Linked DNA regions of Schizosaccharomyces pombe. The gene in region 1 interacts genetically with each later gene. Each region holds a gene or a part of one and is shown in the gene's direction. Other genes may lie near its edges.

Region 1 (4,158 bases):
TTTTTCTACCATTATTGGCATGCCTTGGTTGACCAGTCGTCCGATCACCATCTTGCGAATGTGACTCCCATGATATGTCAGAAATGCTATGTGTTTCATCAATAAGTTGGTCACTGGGATTGGAATACAGTATTTTTTGATAACCCCGGAGTTTCACCAAGTAAGGGAGCACTTCTTTTGGAAATTTAGGCAATTTCATGCGTCTTCCGGAAAATCGATGTTGAAATTCAAAAAAAAGAAAGTGTGAATGAAGATTTATGAAATCGCGCAACTGTCTGTAAATCAACCAACGGATAGCATGTGGCCCAGTACCATATTCAACTTGAATTGTGAAAGTACTGTGTATGCGATTATGTTTAGGCTCCACATCAAGCACTGAGACCTTTATTAGGTCGGTAATAATAGGCAATACCGGCTGCCCAGATTTATCTCGAATAAAATGCTTGGCTATAGGTAAAGATGCAGGTATGCCTGCTTCGAAAAGATTAATAGCAGGCAAGTTCTCCTTTAATATAGGCTTTTCATCTTCCCTTTTAAATTTGCGAACAGAAGCCATTAATTGTGCCCACATTTGTCTGGCAGAATTACGGTTTGCCTTACTTGTATGGGCAGCAGCTGCATCACGTTCGTCTCTCTCTAAAGGAGGAACTTCAACGTTCTCATCCTCCATTGTCTGTGTGATAAATTCTGGAGTTTGCACTCTTGTACTATCATTCGCAGCAAGATCGTTAACGTTTTCAGAGGCTGTATGCCAAGAAGACCCCCGGGTGTGTTCCAAATCGGGCCGTTTTGGAGGATTTAAATTAACAAATTCAGAGTAGTTTTTTGGATCATTCTCAGGAAACGATGGAATAGAATGGTCGACGTTTTTTTCAAGATCTGTAATTTTGGATGGTGTGTGATCTTCTGCATCTTTCCGTCCTGTCCCCTTTTCAGAGTAGATGCTATCATTTACATTTGTGTTTAACGAATAAGGTACATTATCAATCACTGAATTTCCACCTTGATGAATTGTCATTTTGTTATTAAATTAGCAATTGGCTAAAGTTTTTTTGAGACTCAGGGAAATCCAAGTCCCTATGGAGAAAAGCCAATGCTTTATAAATGAGTAAAAGCCAAGAGGGCTTTATTGAACAAATCCCAAAAACAGTTTAAGTGGTTTGGTAAAGCTTAGCTGCGCATTTCAAAATGAATAATACACCATCATGAAAGCTTGGTTAAAGTTTCGTTTAACTGCGCTAGCATAAATAAGGAAACTTTATGAACAATACAAATGTTTATTTACATCGCTATTGTGTAGTTTAATGGTATTTGTCCAATGGATATCGATGCTTCCTACAACCAAATTATTTTTTCTTGAAGAGTTCGTCTCCCTTTTATTGTAATCGTCGAGCAAGAGTTTGTTCAGCTCAACTTACATTAGCTTATCAAAATTAACAATACATATCTCTACTAGTTGTCAGCTATTCCTCACTAAATTATTATTGCACTATGTTAAATACCACTATATTGATTTACGTTTCCACTTTCAAAGTCGTTAATACAGCAAAAAGCTACACAAATGCCCTACATGAGACTTAGATATTTGCGTATTATGCTATTATAAACAATGTGCCTACGTTCCTCAATTCCCTGATTATTATACTATGCAGCATAGTTATTGCTAGCCAAATTAATTATAACTGTATTCGTGGCGACTCTACTCATAAAATAATAGCAAACTCTTTCTAGGTGTATAGATTCGTAAAAAAAATTTACGAGTTAAGAATGCGTACACAAAATTTTACTTTGCTGTGCACTGTCGGATTATAATGCATATCCGACAGAATTTGCAAGGACCTCCTTAAATATCATAAAAGTACTTATCGAAGAAGCACACCAAGGTCAGAAAGGCGGTTTTAACAGGTTAACACTAATTAGTTTTACTGCTAATTCTTTGAGTATGCAGAAATAAAAGAAACTCAAAATACAAGGTGATGCTTCTAACTAAAAAAGTTTTATGGTACTTTAGACATGGAATTGAATATCAAATTCGTAGCATTGCTTGCAAAAAAGGATACTCTGAGCATAACGTTTCAAGAGTACTTATTGAAAAAGCCCGATCGCTTTCTTCAGAGTATCTTCAATTCCATCAAGTAAATAATAAAGTAAGTGTCGGCAAACAAAGTGTGAAATCAGCCTGCTACTGTTCGAGATACAATAATAATGGTAATACAAGCATACCGGACATTAAGCTTTACTCATGAAAAATTAAAATCTGATATAAATGATCTAACTTATATCTTTTAGGATCAATCGGCAATGACAAACGATACAGATTTAGCAAAGCGAATCGCTAGGCTTCGACGCGTTCATAATGCATATTCGAAATTTAAAAGTTTGTCTGAGGTATGATATAAGACGAATTTGTCTCAAACTTGTAGTCAAAAGCTTTCCTTTTTTTTATTACTCTTCCTATTTATAGTAATCGATTTACAATGGTTTTTTTTTGCTAATGGGTCTATAACTTAAGACTTTTGCCAGGCATTTACTGTTTATCTAAGTAAAGCTATTTGATGAGCATGTTGAAATACTTAAATAACTAGTTTTTGAAAACCTTGATTTAAAAAAATTCTAACAATTTAGCAAATAAGCGATTTGAAACAAATGGAGGCCCAAGAGTCAGATGCAGAGGTTAAAATGATGGCAGTGACTGAAATAAACGAAATAAGTAATAAAATACCAAAAAGCATAGAAGATCTTGAAAACACATTACTTCCACAAGCTGATTCATATGCTCTTCCTGCATTAATCGAAATTCGTCCTGGTGTAGGAGGAACAGAGGCCGCAATATTTGCAAATGAACTAGTGGAAATGTATTTTCAGTATGCAAATTTTAAAGGATGGAATTGCAAATTTATATCAAAAAGTGCAGTCCAAGGACTTGAAGCGATAACGGAGGCCATCTTCTCTATTGAAGGTGAGGGAGCTTATGGTCATCTTATGTTGGAAGGAGGTGTTCATAGGGTTCAGAGGACTCCTGCTACCGAAACTAAAGGAAGAGTTCATACGAGTACTGCATCAGTAATCGTTTTACCTCAGGTGTCAAATGATGAATCCTCTTCTCTTTACGATTCATCTGAAGTTAAAATCGAAGTAATGAGATCTCGTGGAGCCGGTGGACAACACGTTAATAGAACAGAATCCGCCGTACGTTTAACACACATACCCACTGGTATCACTGTTAGCATGCAAGATTCTCGTTCTCAGCATCAAAACAAAGAAAAGGCATTTCTTGTACTGAATTCAAGATTGGCTGCCTTAAATGCCGCAAAAGAAAATGAGGCTGAAAGACTGAAACGTAAAAATCAAGTAACGTCTTCAGATCGTTCGGAAAAGCTACGAACTTATAACTTCAACCAAAATCGAGTAACTGATCATCGGATAGGTTTAAGCATGCACGATTTATCAACATTTATGCAAGGTGAAGAAAAATTTGACGAGTTTTTGGAAAAAATAAGAATATGGAATCGTGAACAGTTGCTATTACACTCTGAAATAGTATAGGAATGCTAATTTAGTCTAGTAAAATAGGAAGGTACAATAATATATGGTGGTCAAACTTCTATAGAGAAAAATGTTTATTAGGTATATGCAATGAATAATGAGAAAAGAATGTGCAACATGTCATGCAAATAAGATATCCATAACTGATCTTTAAAAAAGATCATAGGTTAACTCATAATAACATATTTTTAACTACCACTTAAACTGGAATCTCTTGAGGCGACTGCTTCGTTCACTATCTTTGCATCCTGATCAATAAAGATTGCGGCACTTTCATTGGAAGCAGAAGAATGGCTGAAATTACGTCTTGTCTTTCTAGTATTCAAGGCATACGACGATCTGATCAATGAGGTGGGCACATTTTCAAGAGTAAATTCAGATTCAGCGGGAATTTCTGAAGGTTGCAGCTCCTCAAACGAAGATCTTGGAGATTCGACAGCAGTATGAGATCGGACAGAAGAAATGGAGTCTGGTCTAGTTGGTGATACATCTGTACTCCGAGGAGTAGCAGAAGATTGATATAATACACGGTCAGAAACACGTTTGGATGAATTCAATTTTCTGAGTTCTTCAAAAATACTTGGTCCGTAAGTTAAAAGATCCTCCATGAAC
Region 2 (4,103 bases), on another chromosome or scaffold:
TCACGACCAATGCCCTCGGCTTCGTACAACTTGATGAGGTGACGAGCCTTCTCGATAGTAGTTTGGGTGTCAAAAGAGTAACGAGCATCAACTTCGGTGGAGACACGGCCAGGGACGATAGCGAGGATCTTGGTACCGAATTCGATCAAAAGACGATCAAAAGCAATCTCAATTTGAGAGTTGATGGAACCACCCTTTGCCTTGGCATAGTCAACAGCAGCGTCGACGAGAGCAGCATATTGGGGCTTCTTAGAAGCGGCCAAGATGAGAGAAGGGTTTGTGGTGGCATCTTGGGGTTTGTATTTGGCGATCGATTCAAAATCTCCAGTATCGGAGACGACAACAGTGCCAGTGGCCTTTAATTGTTCCAATGAAGACATTTTGATAAAACTACCTCAAAAACTCGTTAGTAAATACTTTTTCCAGACAAATAACTTCGTTTTTCCTAAAAAACACTACAAACATACCTTTTCTGAGTTTCTTGGTGTTCCTAAGGATATAGGTTCTGGTTAAGTTGTGTGTAGCGTGGAAACTTCCACTTAAGCATTTTAGGTACGTCAGCCAAAGTTTCTTTGAATTTGCGGAGAACTTAGCAATGTTTGTCTAGATTTAATTGATTGCTTAAGCAGATGAAAAACTTTCGATTTTACTATAAAATTTCAGAAGAAAAAAATGGAAGCTGCAGACTGTGCTCAATGCATTCTTCACCATCGAAAGTATAGGAAAAGTCGAAAAAATTTATGAAAAAGAAAAATTTTAAAAAATGGTCGAAATCAGATTGTTTTTTTGTTCCAAATTGAAATATATAATGTCAGTAATCTAAGAAAAATAATGCGCTGGTCGCAAGCGGGATCCCGAACAAGATATTGAAGAGATTGACATGACTGGGCTGATTGCAAGTAGTGCCTTAAGGTATGTATTAATGCTAGAACGTTACAAGTATAGTATTGGAAATATTTTGTTAATTGGCACATTTCTTTTGTTTGGTTTGAGCGACATGACAGCAGCAAGTTGCTGCATCGGACATGATCGATGTTCGCACAAGTGTTAAATAGTTGGACCTAAAATTGAATACATATCCATGGAAAACTCTTAAATTGGTAAAAGCATCTGATACTCTTTGGATAGGTATACTCTTCTACCTACACTCTTGTCGATTCGAATTGCCTCTTACAGTAATACAAATGAGATTAGCTTCTAAGGTATCTACAGTCTTCAGAAATGGTCAAGTTCGTAATTAAAAAGGCTTGGTTTTAACCTGTTTATGGACATTGTCTATATAATCGTCAGCGAAATCTTCAAGCATAGTGTGAGATACACCTGTATACCCATAGTTGACGAGCAGATAATCGTAAGGCCTTTTATTTGACTTTCATTACTTATTATTACTTTAATCACTTTTTAAGTAATTTTCTTCAAAATAAACCACCGATATCTCACTCGACATTTAAAAAGAGCTATCTGTATATCCACCTGATGACATTCCATAGTCATCGAGTACAGCTTTGTAGTTTTTCAATAAGACACCCATTCCCGTATCAATTTTACTTTCAAACCACCTTCTGTAACATGTTTCCGGTCAAGTTCAAAGTCACACGTGAATGAATTGTTTGTAGACAAATAAACATCCATAAACTGAGCTTGTCGTGTAATAGGAAGAGAGTCGAGTAAATTCAATGTCATTGCACTTTATAAACTTTCTTCTATTTTTTTCTAGTTTCTTTTTATCTTACCATAACATTATCATTTAGATGAATCAAGTTCAATCCCTGACTCAACAAATTCGCCAACTTTACCTCTCTTTACACTCATTATTTTCAAGCAATTCTATTTGCAAGTCCAAAAGCTTTCCTAATGCCACAAATATTCTATTTCTCACCTTTGCCTAAACAATGGCTCGTCTTGCAACTTGTCAACTCCACGTTTGACTACTTCTAGCAGAATTTATTAAGGACGACTGTGATTGTCTAAACTTGAATTATTTGATAAGTTATCGTATATTCATCTCATTCCCATTGCTGCTTTCGTCCGTATACTGATCGAAATTGGTTTCATTCTGTTACGAATAGTATATATCCTTTCAACAATATCTTTCTTCATCGTAGAAAAACAAAGACATTCTTTTTATTAAAACCCTTACTTTACTTTAAAGATGATTCCTGAGGCGTGTCTTTTCGATATGGACGTACGTACATAGTAAAATAATATGGATCATTTACGGCGTCCATGATCAACAAATACAATATTTATTATCGTTTATTTGTTTTTCATTCTACTTAAAAGTGCTTAGCCTGATGATTCCTTAAAGCATACTACTTGAAAAGCGATAAAGTGTCCTTCTATCTAACGAATACAGGGCTTGTTGGTCGATACAGAGTCAATCTACACAAAAAGCACTAGTAAGTTTTACTCTTCCTTTTCCCTTTCTGTTCAAAGGTATTGGTTAGGCTAACGGTGCGTCTAGATATCATTTTAAAGCGCTATAACAAAGGCCCCTTCTCCATGGAAGTCAAGGCTAAGATGATGGGTAAGTGGCTTTGAGCTGTTGTTGTTTTTTTCAACCTTCTAATCATTCATGCTTTAGGCCGAACTTCAAAGGAGGCCAGCAGAATCTTTTTGGATTGGTCGGGTATTGATTTGACCTGCGAAGAATACATAGCATTACAACGTGAAACTCAAGCTGAACTATGGAGGCATACAAAGCCTTTACCTGGCGTTATGAATTTGTTAAGTAAGTTGAAATCACTAAACATTCCTATAGCACTAGCCACTTCCAGTGACACACACAACTTTGAAAAGAAGTCCGCTCATTTGAGTCATTTGTTTGATCATTTTGATGGAAACATTATCACTGGAGATGACCCTCGATTACCCGTCGGTAGAGGCAAACCTCACCCAGATATTTGGTTCATCGCTTTGAAGATGATCAACGACAAGCGCAAGGCTCAAGGCCAGGCAGAAATCCTGCCAGAGAACTGCTTGGTTTTTGAAGATTCCATTACAGGAGTTCAATCAGGCCGGGCGGCAGGCATGAAAGTTGTGTGGGTTCCTGATGTCAATATTCTTCCCTTTTTTTCTCTTTCTCCAGAACAAGCTGCGGACAAGCATATAACAAAGGTGCTAAGCTTGGAGAATTTCGATGTTACAAAGGTATAGTTGAATTGGTTTCTTTCTCTTACTTTCTTCATTTATCGCTTTTGCTTTATATCTTTTTTTTTGCTCTTTATTTAAGACGCAGCATGCTAGCTGCATTATTTACTTTTTATTCTTCGTTTTACTGATATATTCCCATGTCGTAAAATCTTTAAAAATGAACTCTCATCAAACATTCCAAATCTTTTTTGAATACTTTTCACAAATAACAATCATTACAAAGCCCTCATCCTTGATTCTTTCTTCAATCGTTTGAAAGTGTCTCATCTCCAAGTATCATTTTCACTACGTCTAACACTAGCTATCTAGCAATTTTTCTAAATGTTACTACACATGAGGTATTTTAAGAGATATTGCTTTTCTTATAGTTTGATTTTCAAGAATGTTGACTTTTACAAAAAGTACCTTTTTGGCCAGCACTCCATCATTTAGATGAAAGCACTTATATATTAATAAGGTAAAATTAATCATAAAATAAACAAATAAGTAAAAATTTTAAATTAATTTAAAAGTTCATCCTTCATTTTAGTACTCTCTAGCTGGACTTAGTTCTGTTGGCGCTTATTGGTGAAATTTGCCTGTGTCTTTTCCATATGCCACACCTCAAAGAATCCTTTTTCCAACCACCAAGGATACTATTTCTTTGCTAAATTCCAGTGGTAAATCATTGCCATGGGGTATTCTTTGGGGTACATCGGGGAGCATTGGGAAGAATACCGGGCTGTATTGTACATAGTCTTGCTGCTGCCTGTACTGATCCATTTTCTGATTCGACGAAAAACCCAATTGTCCAATTCAGATAAATCAAGCGAGAAAAAAGATGAGGTAAAGAAACAGAGAGAAGTTAAAAGGTTTAAGCGGGTTGGCAAAAGGGGAAAGATCGGTTCGCCATCCTCTTCCATTCGTAAACAAAATGATACTATTGATTGGAAAAACTCTCCTCTTTGTGT
Region 3 (4,318 bases), on another chromosome or scaffold:
CCAAAGAGGGAAAGGTGTGCTTGGCAACAGCAGCAAATGAAGCCTTTCCCCTCGGGAGTCGTGCGGCGCATTGGGAAACAAAATATAATCCTAAAAAAGAAGCGAATGCACTAAAGACGATGGTCAAACACCCAAACAACAGACCAGTCTTGGTAAACGCATTTGGTAAGGAAAGAATTCCAGCTCCCAAAATAGTATTGGCAAGGTTGATAACCGAAGAAAAGAACCCAGCTTTTCCAATATGGACGTCTGCTGGTCCAGAAGACAAAGGACTATACCCAGACATAAATTAACCCAAACTAGGAATAGAGAAAAAATCTAGGAAGCTATAAAATTGGTGTTTTTAGGAACCAACTTTACGAATTACAATTAAGTACTAAGCGTATGAGTATGCAAACTGATCGATTTTTTGGAAGAATCGTTCAAGAAAGTTATTTTAAAAGAAAATAAGAACTATGCAATATAAAAAAAATGGTTCTAAACAAATAATAGAACGTGGAATAAAAAACGCCTGAGAAATCGTAGAATAGAAATCAGCAGACAAAAAGAGACCAGCTCGATAAATTAAATTGTAGAATCTATTCAGAAGCCCGATAAATAATAGGAAAAATTATAGTACACGATGTATTAAAGCACCTTCCCAGCTGTACGAGTGGAATGCTCGTTCTTGGTTGTTAAAAGAGATGAAATTACGATATACAGATGCGATATCGCTCTACTCTGGTTTGCCAGCAGATATAAAAGCAATGAAATATTATTTCTTTTCTTACTATTACTAAAAAAATTGTTAATATTTATCACTATCATCTCAATTAATGAGTGACATGAGAAATTTATACCAAAATAGATATTTGTGGCACACGAATATTTTACCAACTTGAACACAGTATTAGCAGTAAATTAGAGAATTTTGTAAATTCTGTAGAAATAAAACGAATTTTTCATAGACATATATTTATATCAATAGAGCATTCGAAGTGGTGGAAGAGCATACAATTGATTTTTTCATCGAATAAATTTCAATAAAAAGAGAAAATTTAGAATTATAACAATTTCTCACTGTCAAACGTTGATCACAAGGATATAAATAGTTTTTTATTTTATTTCATAAGTATCTAGTCAGTTGAATATAGTATCGAAGAAAAATACAATCAAATTTCATTGTTTTGTTCATGAATTCCCGGTGAACCGAGTAGCAGTTGCTTTTCTGACATTGCGAGGAAAAAGCCTTTTTTAAAATGTAAGATGTTTTTTAGTTTCAAAATATGCACATACGCCATTCTAAAGATTGCAGGAACATCGTAAAATGCGAATACATGGAGATAATACCAAATATCATGTCGATATTACAAAACCTCTTTTAATTTATAAAAGCAGCAGCACCTTACAGAAATGATTTCACAACCTTCATAATACAGCTTATAATAATATGCATTCCCAAATCAAGTCAATTCTCATTTCAATAATAATTAGTACAGAGAGATAGCATAAAAAGTGGGTCAAACAAACCATACGTTTAATTATATGAAGTTTGAGATGAACATATAAGTTTCTTAATCTAATTCAACAGTGCTAAAGCTTTAGGAGACTTAAATAACCATTCCCAGACAAACCAGGTTCTCCGATGGTCAAGGGCAAATCAACGGGCAAAATGGGCCTATAAAAAAATGAAAGGTGTTAAACTGTTTATGTTTACAAAGATAATTGGGTTTTTATCAATTTTTTTTAATTAACTATCATTTCAATGCATTGGCAGTCTCCCTCTGGGCTTGAATCCTAGAATCCAACGTTTTTGCCATTCAACTATTTAACTATTACCAAAGTGCCATTACGACTTTGACCAAAAACATTCAATCACTAAATGAATATAAAAAAACAAATTTCCCATACATTAATTACTTAAAGCGTGAAGTTTCAGCAATTCGCGATATATTTCATTGATGTTGTAGTTGGTAAATGTATTACCTATCTTCCAATCCTTCACCATTCCCCAAGCGCACAGCACAATTTTTTAATAAAACGATTATTATACATTATGCCGAGTAATTCAACTCCCGCTAATGAAGAAAAAGAGGAAGAGTCTGAAAAAATTCAGAAATCTCCCGTAGACACACCCCACACGCCTAATGGCTCAGTTTCCGATAATGAAGAGAATGAAACATCGAGTACTGGAGAAGTAACCCGCTGTGTTTGTGGAATTGTCGAATCCGACGATGAAGCTAGTGACGGGGGGCTGTATATTCAGTGCGATCAATGCTCAGTTTGGCAACATGGGAACTGTGTGGGATTTGCTGATGAATCAGAAGTTCCCGAGGTATATTATTGCGAAATATGCCATCCAGAATTCCATAAAGTATATCAAAGGGGCAGAGGGTAAGTGTTGATAACAGATGAGCTTAAGGATTTAAAATGGATTTACCACTGAATACCTAATGCTTTAAACTAATTGCAGTGGTTTCCAAATATCTCCATTTTATTCTTTTTTCTCTTCTAGCAATTAAAAAAATTGGGTTTTTCAACTATTGTTACTAACTTCGCCGCAGGGCTAAACAATCAAAGTATCTTGGAAATGGAAAACCTATAGAAGCCAGTCAAACAGAAGAATCTTCATCTACTCCCCCATCTCCGGCAACCAAAAAGTCGTCTAAGCAACGTCTTACTATGAATTCCAGAGACGCCGCTCTTGATTATGAAGAGTATCTTGCAATTGCTAAGGAAAAGTCACTAATACCGAGGAGATCTAGAGGGTATGGTCATTGATATTCATAGATGATATACTAACTGTTTTTAGGCGAACTTCATCGAAGTCTCTTTCTCCACCAGCTCCCCAAGATGAATCGCAAGGAACCGAAATAAATTTAAAACAAAAAATTGAAGAAGAGAATGATGAAATTTTAGAAGATAGTAAGGAGTCGAAGGACGAAAACGAAGAGAATAAAGAAACCTCTACTACTAATGTCGCTGAAACGGATGCCCCTGAAGAAGAAACTGTAGATACGGTTGAGGAGATTGCTGATGAAGAAAAGCACTCAGTAAAAGAGGAGTCTGGAGAAGCATCCCCTCAAAGCTCACAACAATCTACCATTACTTCTATTTCGACCACTACTCGGTCAACGCGAAAAGCTAAACGTGAAGCAGCGGCAGAAGACAAAGCGGATCTTCCAGCAGCTGTCGCACCGAAGCCTTCAAAAACAAGAAAGGTGGGAGGAAGAAGAGGAAAATCTAGTTCGAACGATAATCACCGAATTCCTCAATTACATCCGGATGGAACGTTCGTAGAGACCATAACCAAGCCTAAGGGATTGCACTCAAGAATCACTATGACTGAGATGCGGCGAAGAGTTGCCTCTATGCTAGAGTATATTGGACATATTCAAGTTGAAATGGCAGCTCAGTCTGCTGGTAATCAATCATCCACAAAGTCATCGAAAGAAGGCCCAGAAGAAGAGAAGGAAACTCTTAGGATGGTAGACAATCTCACCAGGGATTTATTGCATTGGGAACAACGATTCAGTCGAACTTGATGATGCTGTGTACTGTGTGAATTTACATCAGTAATATTAAAAAAAAGAAGCAAAGGAAGAAAAAAGGAGAAAGATGTGTTCAATTGAACATGTCAACATACATATATTTTTACTTTTTTATGATCTAATGGTTTCCTTTGTTGATTTATGATAGATATTTTGATAAAGATTTAGAGTTCCTTTGATGAGAGGGATATAATTTTTGTTTGGTTAATTGAAGAAATATAATTTATTATTATTTACAGGTTAAACTTTTGTATATTTTTTGAAATGAGCTATGTTTTTCGAGTACACCGATTTCCAAGTGAATGAGTAAAAACGTTCAAAAGTACTCACTAATTTAATAAATACAAGAGGTTTTGAAACTAAAAAAAAAAAAAAAAATCAAACGTAGAAAACACCACAATAACTACTTTCTGAAGGAAAATCCATCTTTCATTAAGTGCCTATTAAACCAGCTACAATATAATGTTATATAAGGCTTGGTACTGGAGAGGAAAAAAATAAATCCTGATTATTCCATCAATTGAACAAATATTTTAACTAAGTGTCTAATGAAAACAATTTCTACTTAAAAAATAGTACTATACATACTTTATTTACATTGTTGAGCACAATGTCAAATAACGAAATGCATTGTATTTCTCTATATTAGCCCTACCCTATGCCTAGAAGAGCAGTCACGACTTTCGTCTAGTAGAAGAAACGCTTGAAACAATCTCTACCTTCACACCAAAATGGCCCACGAAAACGTTTGGTTCTCTCACCCTCGCAAGTACGGAAAGGGCAGCAGA
Region 4 (4,100 bases), 1.1 Mb from region 1:
AAATACAAGCCGTCTTCAACAAACTCTTTTGAAGAAATAAATTCAGTGATATAGTCAGTAGTTGTAAATTATGAGAAAAACAAAATAATGACTAGAAGGGATAGTAATAATAATAATAATAATAAAAACAGTAATAGTAATGACTAATCAGATTTAACTTTTTAAGGAGAAAAAGTATCTTTTTGGATATATCGTTAATAAATAAATAATAATCAGTTGAACAATCAATCATCCCCGTCACGGTCAAAAATATCCCAAAAATCTTGCTGATCCAAGTCTGCATCAGACAAAAAAGGAGACTTCGTTTCAGATGAAGAATCATTGGTGGAAGGCGTAGTTTCCTGGTCGTTTTTTAAAATTTCCTGAGCAGACAGGTCTTCAGCTGGATAATCGTGGTTGGAGGAAGAACCTCCAAACATAAACGGAATATTCAGTCCCAGTGCTGGGCCACCATGAATACGGCTAAAATAATCAAAATCAATAGTGACAGCACTGCCTAGCATAACTGCCCTTTCTTCTAAACTCATATCACGTGCACAAACATCATTAGCGATTCCATGAGCAGCTTGAAGCAATTGATTTTCATTTACAGAACCATTGGCTGCACTCGTAGAGGTAAATCGAAGAACGTAATTACCAGTATCAGTAAAAAATTCACGAGGAAGCCCCATGAAATTCCGTGAAACACTACCTAGGATGCGATCCTGCTCGTTTCGCAACAGAAACTCCCAACTTAGCACTCGCTCATCAATTTTGGCAAACTGTTCAAACATAGAACGCTTCGCAAGGAACAATTCATAGCGACGGCGCCATAAATGCCATTTTTGAAGGACTTCGCCAACTAAAGTAGACGAGAACTTACTGTAATCAATAGAATGAATTTGTAACCGGGAGTTTATCCAAGAAAATGGTCGATTGAGTTGTAACACCAACTGGCCGTTACTGTCCATTACATCTGCCTTAAACGCACGATGTGTGTGGAAAAATTGTCTTGATAAACTTGATAATATGGATGAGGCACCCTGTTCTGCAATGTATCCAAGATGCTGACCTTGTTGGTTAAGAATTACATAGCGGTTAGCCTGTTCATAACCAAGAAAAACATTCATCATTTCAAGTTGCCTCTCTACTATAAGAACATCTTGTGATAATAAAGGGGCCGCTGGAGAATTTAATGGAATAGCTCCAGTACTGCTAATGGCAGCAGGCTCTTGAGAGACTACTTTCGCTGTAGCGTCAATGTATCGTGTAGATTTGCTATGATGATAAAGGCGACATCCAAACCGTTTGAGCCCATAAAGCATAGTTAAATGATTACTGGAGACAAAGGTTTGAATTGGAGTAATGTTAGCCCATAGAATTTCAAGCATAGGTTTGAGAAATTAAAATTAGTTTGTGGTTCACCTATACCACAGAGGGTTGCTGAGACAAATATGTAATAAAGGCTGTGTAGTAAGTTTCACAATTTAAAATAGCACATACTATGCGATTACCTTAAAGCTTTACGAAATATAGGATACTACATTAAATTGCTTATGAACAGCTAACATTGCGGTAATTTCCTGTTTACTTTTGTTTACATTGAGAATTCCGAATTCTATAATTACCAACTAGACACATCACAATGATTGCACTTGAAAAACTTTCAGAAAAGAACAAAAGGAGCACTAAGAAGTGTGAAATTTCCATTTACGTAGGGAATTTACCTTCAACGTGCCAAAGCTCAGATCTTCATGAACTGTTTGAACCTTTCGGTAATCGTATATGAATAAACAATTTTTTCTCTAACTGTTTAAGGTAATTTCTCAAAATTCCACATGCTAAGTAGAAAGAAGAATAAGAGTACTGACTCTAAATCCCCAACTTTATTTGCATTTATCACATTTGAAAACAAATGTAGCGCTGACAACGCAATTGCCTCCTTAAACGGGAGTTCGTTCCAAGGAAATACTTTGTACGTAGATTTTAAAATAATAAACGCTAATAGAGCAACAATTATAGGAAGGTCGAGTATACGCATATCGTGGAGAGATACAAAAATAAGTTGGAAAATGGAGTTGACCAAATTCATCACTCGAATAATGAAAAAGCAAAAATTCGGTTTTCAAAAATAGAAAAGTATACAAAGGAAACACGACCGACAGTATCAGAGGTTCGAGTTAGTACCAAAGACAAAAAGGAATATTCGATGAATACCTCAAATTTAGTTCAATCAAACCCCCCAAAAGTGCACGACAAAGAGAATGCATTTGCAGAAGCAACAGGAACTAGTATACTTAGCTCAAAAGCAGTTCAAACACTCTTAGTTTCAGATTTCACGGAGAATGAGCCAAAGCATCTGTCTATCAGGCCAAATTGCAAAGATAATAATACACCGTCCATTTCTAACACTTTTATTGAGCCATATAAGGAAAATAACACGGAACATTTACACCTAAAATCTGCTTTTGAACCCTGTCAAATGATGCCAGGTATGCTTCTAGAACAGAATCCCCAATTTTTGTACGACAACCCTTCTATTTTTGTGATTGGGATTTTAAACCTTCCGTTGAAAGTATCACCAGTCGAGCTTTACAATGAGTTTAGCAATCATGGTCACATTCTCGGTGTAGCCATCAATCAAAGCATAAATGAAGATATGACTCACTACGCAGAAGTGGCTGTGAGCACCTATGAAAGTTGCATAGAGGTATTAAGCAAGCTATTTTTTGCTATAGCATTACTGACCTTTTAATTTAGATCATTGAAAAATTTCACGCCATTGCGTATGAAGGATCCATTTTACAACTTTTTATAAAACAACCTGTTCAGGGATTTTGCTCTAATTTGTTAAATCACCCAGAAGGAACCATGACAAATTTATTGCCCCCAAATATGGAAATGCCTCAGCCGTTTGAAATTCCAGTGATTGCCAAAACTTCTGCTTTGCCAAATCCATTTATTTCATTCCCTTCTTTCCAAACATCGTATGAAACGACAGTAACGCCAACACCAACCTCAACACCGACAATTGATCCTTGTAATTTATTTGTTAAAAACTTGGATGATAATATAGTAGGAAACACACAACAATTAGAAGAACTGTTTTCGAAATTTGGAAGGATAAAATCTTGCACTTTAGCGTCGTATCCCAGTACAGAAATATCCAAAGGCTATGGTTTCGTATCCTTCAGTCATCCATTTGAAGCTGTGCAAGCAATTAACACGTTAAATGGAGTGTTATTCGGAAAGAAAAGATTATTCGTGAATTATGCAGAAAAGAGAGAAGATCGCAAAAAGCGACTGAGTGCTATATTTAGCCAATCTTACCCTCCAGTTGTTCCATCGCCCTCTCTAACAATTCCAATGGCTACTGAACCACAAATTTTAGAGTATCATCAGGAATGGCCTCAACCTCTAATACAATCTATACAGCAGCACGGGTATAGCGATCCTAGACAAACATTACCAACTCGTTTAGATTCATGTGCCGCTAAGCTACGTGAAGCGGTGATTTCAAACGAAAACCTAAACCCAAGCCATAAATTCGGCATAAAACACTCCACATTCAAAACTTCACTATCGCCTTTAACCAACATTGTATTAAACCAATAAATAAAAGCAAGATATGTCTAAAGGACATAATATCAGTACCTGTCGTTTAAATATTTTAACAGTTCTTTTTTTTAATCTATCTCCCATGAAATTTAGGGACATAGTATTATACAAAGAAGATCGGAAAAAGTTGAAACACAAGGAGTCGTTAACAACGGTTGAAATTTCACATTTTAGCTCTGGAAAAGTATGTTTATTTTATAAAAGAAGAAAAGAAGAAAAAACCCCAAAAAAACAAGAATAATAAAAGATAATTGGACAGCTCTGCGAATATTTTTATTTTCTCAAAATATGAATACGCTCATTCTACATTAAATCACTCAATCTACACAAAAGGAATTAGTATAATAAAATAGTTTATAAAAAGAACATACTTATCTGCTTTTTTGACGATCATATAGCGAAGAACCGAAGGTTCAAGTCTCAGAATCCTCTGTATCTCAGATTGAACTGTGGGGTTACTGTAAAAGGTCATAGACCACCAGTGACCAAAAGAGTAAGATTGA

Evidence for each region.
Region 2: mutations in mrf1 (region 1) and SPOM_SPCC1020.07 together harm fitness less than expected from each alone (positive genetic interaction), as found in Schizosaccharomyces pombe (one large-scale study listed by BioGRID).
Region 3: mutations in mrf1 (region 1) and cti6 together harm fitness more than expected from each alone (negative genetic interaction), as found in Schizosaccharomyces pombe (one large-scale study listed by BioGRID).
Region 4: mutations in mrf1 (region 1) and mug28 together harm fitness more than expected from each alone (negative genetic interaction), as found in Schizosaccharomyces pombe (one large-scale study listed by BioGRID).

The regions. Positions count from the first base shown.
Region 1 is NC_003424.3:568,260-572,417, forward strand, and holds mrf1 (peptide chain release factor), read left to right. Parts: upstream 1-1,908; 5' UTR 1,909-1,976; coding exon 1,977-2,147; exon of another isoform or gene 2,148-2,289; coding exon 2,290-2,388; exon of another isoform or gene 2,389-2,474; intron 2,475-2,493; exon of another isoform or gene 2,494-2,625; coding exon 2,626-3,546; 3' UTR 3,547-3,617; downstream 3,618-4,158. Other genes in the region: phospholipase D Pld1, read right to left, coding at 1-1,018; putatiRho-type GTPase-activating protein Rga8, read right to left, coding at 3,735-4,158.
Region 2 is NC_003421.2:769,775-773,877, reverse strand, and holds SPOM_SPCC1020.07 (pseudouridine-5'-phosphatase), read left to right. Parts: upstream 1-1,914; 5' UTR 1,915-2,152; coding exon 2,153-2,185; exon of another isoform or gene 2,186-2,356; coding exon 2,357-2,399; exon of another isoform or gene 2,400-2,464; coding exon 2,465-2,527; intron 2,528-2,584; coding exon 2,585-3,156; 3' UTR 3,157-3,603; downstream 3,604-4,103. Other genes in the region: tal1 (transaldolase), read right to left, coding at 1-380; wybutosine biosynthesis protein Tyw1, read left to right, coding at 3,826-4,103.
Region 3 is NC_003423.3:512,181-516,498, forward strand, and holds cti6 (Rpd3L histone deacetylase complex PHD finger subunit Cti6), read left to right. Parts: upstream 1-1,974; 5' UTR 1,975-2,035; coding exon 2,036-2,373; intron 2,374-2,543; coding exon 2,544-2,747; intron 2,748-2,791; coding exon 2,792-3,524; 3' UTR 3,525-3,773; downstream 3,774-4,318. Other genes in the region: vacuolar amino acid transmembrane transporter Avt5, read right to left, coding at 1-286; rps29 (40S ribosomal protein uS14), read left to right, coding at 4,262-4,318. UniProt on the Schizosaccharomyces pombe protein: Could be a component of the RPD3C(L) histone deacetylase complex (HDAC).
Region 4 is NC_003424.3:1,649,388-1,653,487, forward strand, and holds mug28 (RNA-binding protein Mug28, implicated in mRNA processing), read left to right. Parts: upstream 1-1,624; coding exon 1,625-1,754; exon of another isoform or gene 1,755-1,797; coding exon 1,798-1,954; exon of another isoform or gene 1,955-2,001; coding exon 2,002-2,689; exon of another isoform or gene 2,690-2,739; coding exon 2,740-3,594; downstream 3,595-4,100. Other genes in the region: pls1 (phospholipid scramblase), read right to left, coding at 225-1,370; mrp17 (mitochondrial 37S ribosomal protein bS6m), read right to left, coding at 3,901-3,919, 3,969-4,100. UniProt on the Schizosaccharomyces pombe protein: Has a role in sporulation.